Oryzias latipes: one gene and its partner. The protein of the gene in region 1 interacts with the protein of each later gene in a pairwise test. Links are inferred from orthologs where the notes say so. Each region holds a gene or a part of one and is shown on either strand. Other genes may lie near its edges.

Evidence for each region.
Region 2: the proteins of mocos (region 1) and alpha-parvin interact in binary tests that used the Homo sapiens proteins (3 or more experiments, as listed by UniProt). The two-hybrid records come from large-scale screens. The link is inferred for Oryzias latipes from reciprocal best matches to the Homo sapiens genes MOCOS and PARVA.

Annotation. Positions count from the first base shown.
Region 1 is NC_019873.2:30,323,902-30,326,810, reverse strand, and holds the end of mocos (molybdenum cofactor sulfurase), read left to right. Parts: intron 1-349; coding exon 350-532; intron 533-1,198; coding exon 1,199-1,295; intron 1,296-1,394; coding exon 1,395-1,536; intron 1,537-1,637; coding exon 1,638-1,742; intron 1,743-1,832; coding exon 1,833-1,937; 3' UTR 1,938-2,396; downstream 2,397-2,909. UniProt on the Homo sapiens protein: Sulfurates the molybdenum cofactor. Sulfation of molybdenum is essential for xanthine dehydrogenase (XDH) and aldehyde oxidase (ADO) enzymes in which molybdenum cofactor is liganded by 1 oxygen and 1 sulfur atom in active form.
Region 2 is NC_019864.2:719,083-723,032, reverse strand, and holds the end of alpha-parvin, read right to left. Parts: intron 1,879-3,950; coding exon 1,806-1,878; intron 1,089-1,805; coding exon 1,012-1,088; 3' UTR 591-1,011; downstream 1-590. UniProt on the Homo sapiens protein: Plays a role in sarcomere organization and in smooth muscle cell contraction. Required for normal development of the embryonic cardiovascular system, and for normal septation of the heart outflow tract.

The DNA.
Region 1 (2,909 bases):
CGGGTGTGTGATTGTGGCCCTGTGAAAGACTGGCGACCTGTCCATGACTTCCCCCGCCCTCACCCACGAGTGGCCAGGATAGGCTCCAGCAGCCCCGTGACCTCGGAAGGGACAAACGGGTTTGGACGATGGATGAATGACTCAGACTGTTTGATCTTTAACCTCTGTGACCTTTCCCAGCTAACGACCATCCAGAGTCTTTTGTTCTGAAAGAGCCGCTCCGTCATGCTGACGGATCTTCCTCCAAATGTTTCTCAGACATTAAATGTGGTCAAATCCAAACTGTTGCTGGTTCTTTAAAAACATGTTTGTAAGGCTTTTTTAACTTGGTTCTTTGCTATTCCAACAGGTTTGGTGCAGAATGCTTTGATGAAAGGTCGGTTTAAGGTCGTCTTGTCGGACAAAGTTCTTTTTTTCTGTGGATGGAGACGACTGCGTTGCATCAGTTCAGATATCTCTTTCTGTGCTTCAGACTCTGAAAACAGACTTACCTCATCTAAACTTTGGGATACAGACCAGCCTCAGTTGAAAGGTGTGCTCGGCAGGGAGGATCTTATAAATCTCAGTGTTGAACTGCATGATGGGAAATGTAGGATCCCGCTTTCTGTGAGCTCTAATTAACTACATTAAAGATCTGTCTGCATCTGCTCTAAAGATGTCCACCCTTCCTAAACCACTTCCATTCCAAACTATAAAGGTCCAGACTTTAAATCTGTGTGTGACTTGTGTTCCAGCCTTGTTACATTTCTTCTGTCCTTCATTTCCCACAATGCTCTGCATCCATCATTTGGTGTAATCCTTCCTTACTGGTGAAGGGCCGGGTCTTTCATCACTTGTAATCCAGGCTTTCTTTTAAATACATGTCTTCCCCCTGAGCGTGAGATCCTCCTGGTTCTGTGATCCGGGCCGGCTCTCTGGTGGGACGCCGCTCCCTGCAGAGCCTTCACAGGCCCTGGTGGGAAACCCTTTCATCTGTGAACAGCAGCATCGCTGTAGGAGGAGGTTCAGCCTCCGCGTGTGAACGCTTTCCATGTCTTTCAGGAAGTAACTGAAATTATTCTGTCCAACAGCAGTTCTCATATTTGTGTTTGGAGCTTTTGTGGCGTGATGACTCATGGCTTCAGTCTTCAGTCAGTCCGAGCTGCTCCATGTACAGATGTTGTCCTCACAGCCAACAAATGAAGTCTTTCCTTTCCAGCTGCCCCCTCCCCGTCCCTCTCTCTGGTGAATGAAGCCCAGTATCTCATGATCAACCTCGCCAGCGTGAAGCTCATTCAGAGTCTAATGAGCAGCAGGTCTGAACACATTTGCATCGCTCCAGGATGCATTTACATGATAGAGGCTGGTCTCTGCAGCTCAGTGGAACAACGTCTCCTCATTTCCTTCTGTCACAGGCAGGGCGGCGGCGAGGACCAGGAGCTCCTCGTCTCTCAGAAAGTCATCAGGCGCTTCCGAGCCAATTTAGTCATCACTGGAGGAGAAGCATTCGATGAGGATAATTGGTCACACTTGATCATTGGCAGCACCCGCTTCGTGGTGAGCTGACACTCTGACTTGAATGTGACATCTTCAAACGCATTCAAAGCCAGTCAAGTGGATCATTGCCAAAGCCTGTGCCCTGTGTGATAAACCGTAAGGTCGCGGGTCAGTGTGGAAGATGCCAGATGGTGGGAATAGACCAGGACACCGGAGCCAAATGTAAAGAGCCGCTCGTGTCCCTGTCTGCCCTCCGCGGCGGGAAGGTGGGTCAGAAACATTCGCCGCTCCTCAGTTATCTGTGTGTGACGCAGGAACAGAAAAACCAAAGATGATGGAGATGTTTCCACCTTTAGGTGACGTTTGGCGTGTATCTGACTCATGAGACTGCAGACGGCTCTGCAGCAGGACACGCTCTCTCTGTTGGTTCTGTTATCCAGCCGGAACCACACGGGCCTTGAAGGGTCACCTCTTTGTTTTTTCTCATCGCTGTTAATCCTCCCATCTTTTTAACGTTTTTAAAATGAAAAACATCAAAGATTTGGAATTCAGCTCTTAGATGGAATCACCTGAAATCTTAGCTACAAAGGAAATGTTATTTCAACAGCTGCCCATTTAACTCATCAACCTTCTTTACCAGCCAAAGACAGAAATGAATGTTCAACATATGCCGATGATCTACTGTTGAGAGGAGAAGAGCGCCGATCTGTTAGGAACGCAGCATCAGTGGAGGTACTTTTCTCTCTGTGTCCCCAGAGAATCACGGAAAGAACCGTTGCATCCTCTAAAGATGAAGTCGCCACATTGCCTTCCCTCTAACACCTTTACAACACCATGAACTGTAAAGGCAATGATTGTAATGATGCACTGAAAGCCATCAATAGGAAGAGAATGAAAATAAAAGGCACATCAACACTTCAGCTTTGGTTCATTTATTAATGCTGAAAAATAAAAACCAAAGTCCAGATGACCTTTTAACCTCTTTCTGGGATGAACCGTCGGGATGAGTGAGAGTCTTCAGGCAGAAATCTCACCAAGCCGTTTCTGAAGCCGGTTTATTGTCTTTAGAAAGTCTTTGAAAGCAAGAAGAGGTAAGAAGAAACATTCATCCAAATTAATGGAGTGTGAAACGTTCAAGTAAATAGCGTTCAGTTATGGAGCAATCTTTGCAGAAACCATGAAGCTCCAATCATGTTCAGGGAATTTGATTTCCTGGTGACATTGCTGAAGTACTCTGAAGAAAAATGTGTGAAAACATCTGCAACAGTAGAAAGTAGAAAATACTTTGTACTTTCAGTTTAGTTCCTGTTTACGTTTTGGCTTTTATTATTCGATATTAAATCTAAGACTTAGAGTTTTCTGTATGTCTTGGTGTTCATAACGGAATACTACAAAGATTTGATTCTGTTTCCAAAGTAAAGGAAGAACCAAAA
Region 2 (3,950 bases), on another chromosome or scaffold:
AGTCGGAAATAAACTCTCCATTCAAAGTTTATGATTATTTGTCCCAGCAGCCTACCGAATCGGTTCAATCGAACCCAATCATCAACAGACGCTGTCTACAACATCCACTAAGTTTTTCACTATAGCCCCAACTTACTGTGAGTCGTGTAAATTCACCTCAGGGTTTATCCTCAACACAAAACTGACTTTAACCCTTAATTCTCCTGTTTTGGGGGCATAGGACACTAAAAGTAATTGAAAAGCAGAGAAGAATCACAAACATGTCCATCCAAATGCCTCTGCAGCACTGCAACATTATCAATAATACCCCCCACAAAGGTTACTGTGGAATGTAAGGAGAATGAAGCATTTCACACATTCAGCCAGTGTGCCATCTTCCTGGAGCCACTCCGGGGTCACCTTCCATTCACAGAGCTTTCGCGCTGCTTTTCTAACAAACCATCAATTTAGTGAAAAGAAAATTGTTGTGGAGGCTCACTTGTCTTTCTGCGCCAACAAAATTGGAACCACTCTGACCCCAGTTTTTCTTTTGTTGGAGAAGCATTCCTCTTGGCTGGCTTTGAGAGGTCAGAAATAATAAGGAGAAATTGTTCAGCGTTCAGCCAAAGAACTGTTTATTACATGTAACGCATCTGAACATAAAGCCTGTTTGATGCTCCAAACAAAGGAGGGAAAGCAAAAACGCAGTTAGATTCAGTCAGACTGAGCTGGTCCCACATCTGCAACGCTTTTATGCAAGTTCAGCTACAACTAAACATCTACATACAGAAAAAGACTTGGCTTCCATGTTTTCTTCTGTAGCATTACAGCAAAAAGAAAAAAGAAAGGAGCTCATCCATCGCAGCATCCAGGAGGTTGAGCTCAAAAAGGCACTTAAGAAAGACGGAACAGTTTCCGAATCTCAAATAAATACATGATGGTGAGTGGAAGAGCTCTGCAGCAGAAAAGCTGCAGGCCTTCATGCGTGCAGAAAGTGGCGTGTGTTCAGGTGAAGCTGCAGCCACAGAGAGCTCAGTCCACGTTCCTGTACCTGGAGAAGAGGTTGTAGAGGACGCGCAGCGTAGACTTCAGGTCACAGTTCACGATGTCTGCAGAAACACCAGCATCCATTTAAAAAAGGCTTCATGAAAGAAACACTGAGAAACCAGACGAATACATGTCATTATCGTTTAGTGCGCCATTTTGCTGTTTAATGACCCTGGAGAACCCACTGGCTCAAATCTGTTTTTAAATTTCATTTATTTACCTCTATTGTGTTAAATGTTTGTATTTATGTATATATGTATTTTTGGTAGCTCCTAATTGCTGCTACCCAAAACAAATTGACAAAAAAAGGTCAAATTTACTTTAAAAGCCCAAAAGAAAAACTGTTCTTGCGCTCTCCAGGTTTAACTTTTAATTTCCTGAAATTGAAAATCATTCATTTAAACAAGCATAAAGCTTTAAATTCTTTTTTTTTTTAATCAAAGCACGTGAAGAACTGCTGTAAAACCTGATAAATCTGTGGAATCCATACATTTATAACCCCTCCACCCCACAGATTGAGCTCCAAACATGATTCATTGTGTACATTTATCCGTCTTAAGCTGTCAGACTAAGGCCAGGACCCGCTAGACCGCCATTCATGCTCTTATTTTGTAAAATCCTGTTGAAACGACGATAACTTGCTGCATCAAGGCTTTCATAGGTGAGGACAATAAAACGACTGAACAACAGAAAAACAGAAAGTATTCAATCCAGGCACTAAATATAAGGCTACAAGTGAAGCTACAAGAGAGCCAAAGTGATGTAAACATGCGGCGTACCCTCGGGGCGGGGCTTGGGCCGCTCCAGACCGCCGTCTTGCATCAGCTCAAAGGAGAAGGACACGTTGTGGACCTGCGCAGACAGACGAACACGTTAACGCAGTCAGAGGAGATGCTGCAGCTGCACGTGGAAACGTGGCGAGCCATCAGAGTGCAGCCGGGGTTATCCAGGGAAGAGCCCTAATGCCAGGGAGGGGTCCCCATCTGTCCAGCCAGCACACGACAGCAGGAACACCTGAAATCGAGGCTCCCTGATGAGAAAACCTGGAGGAACAAAACAGGAGCGATTCCACAGCCACAGAAAAAAGACAGTTGTGAGAGGAGGAAAACCAATCAAGGGGCAGGGGCGCCGGAAGACTCTTTCTATTCACCCCTGTTGTGCTGTGTGCATGTGTGTGTGTGTGTGTGTGTGTGTGTGTGTGCACTCATGGGGAAGGACTAGAAGCTTTGCCCATTGAAACCGTTTGTGAACTTAGTCCATCTGACAGAGGAGAGATCCGCTCTGACGTGAAGCAGGATGGCTTTCCTGAACCCCCCCCCCACACACACACACACACAAACACACTGCAGGGTTTCTGGCCTTCAAACACCCGCCACGCACACACGGGGGCCTGCAAAGCACTCCAGTGTTCCTCTGTGCAGCAGGAGATTAAAGGCGCTGAGGGCCGCTCTTCCGGGCCAGCACCGTCTCTGTGTGCTTGTGAGGCGGTGCTGGTGCCGAGCACCGAGGCCTATTTTACCAGCAGCTTGGCAGGGGATGCTGGCTGAAGCCCAAAAGGAGGCTGTCCCTGAAGAAGGCCTGTGCAGAACACCACAGTGCTGCGGAGAGGAGTCGCTAATCACAGTTGGAGCTCAGCTGAACCTGTAGGTTTGGAGTCTTCTAAAAAGGAAAGCTTTAAATACATTTAGAAAAAACTCCAGTCTACCTTCATTTATAAAGCTCTTCAATGTTCCCCTTTTGGGATCAATAAAGTATAATTGAATTAAATTGAATCATCTCCACAATCTCACAAAATCAAGTTGGATAAGATGAGTAAACATTTCTGTGGTATTAAGAGCTGCTTTTAAACCGTGGGCTTGAAAGTAAGACTTCAACAAACAGTCTGACATGGGGGGGCTGCAAAGTTTGGGGGCTGCTGCAGCAAAAGCACCATCACCTCTGAACTCACACTTTGTGTGTGTGTGTGTGTGTTAAGAACCAGCTGATCAGTTGAGCCTGGCCCGTTACCAGAGGGCAGTCCGCGCTGCCCAATGTGATTGATTGATTGATTGATTGTTCCAGTTTCACACTCTGTATTGGTGTCCATAATTGGACATGAGAACCTGGCTGAAAGCTTTCTAATGCTGCACCGCAGCGACCGCAGCTCCGCCTCTCCCATCTGTAACAATCAACCACTTCTTTTAGCATTCTGCTGTTAAGGAATTCTGTTTTAATTAGAAAATATAATGATGAAAAAAGGGGCGGTGCTACTGGTGCAATCAAAATGAAATCTAACTATTTAATCTATTTACAAACAAACATTTTTAGAATTATCACACAACCAGATTTAAGAGACACAGTCAAGACCATAAATATTTGGACAGAGACACATTCTTTCTAATTTAGTTTCTTGGCATTACCACAGTGAATTTTAAATAAAACAACTCAGATGCCATTGAAGTGCAGACTCTCAGCTTTTATTCCATGGGTTGAACAAAAAGATTGTATAAAAATGTGAAAAACTAAAGCATTTTCTAAACACAATCCCTTAATTTCATTAGCTTGTAAGTAATTAGACAAATGAAATAACTGAAAACCAAATGGTCATTCCTAATATTTGGTTGAAAAGCCTTTGTTGGCAATGACAGCCTGAAGTCTTGAACTCATGGACATCACCAGATGCTGGTTTTCTCCTTCTGAATGCTCTGCCAGGCCTTTACTGCAGCGGCTTTCAGTTGCTGTTTGTTTTTGGGCCTTTCTGTCTGAAGTTTAGTCTTCAACAAGTGAAATGCTGCTTAATTGGGTTAAGATCAGGTGACTGACTTGGCCATTCAAGAATATTCCACTTCTTTGCTTTAATAAACTCCTGAGTTGCTTTGGCTGTATGTTTTGGGTCGTTGTCCATCTGGATTATGAAACGCCGGCCAATCAGTTTGGCTGCATTC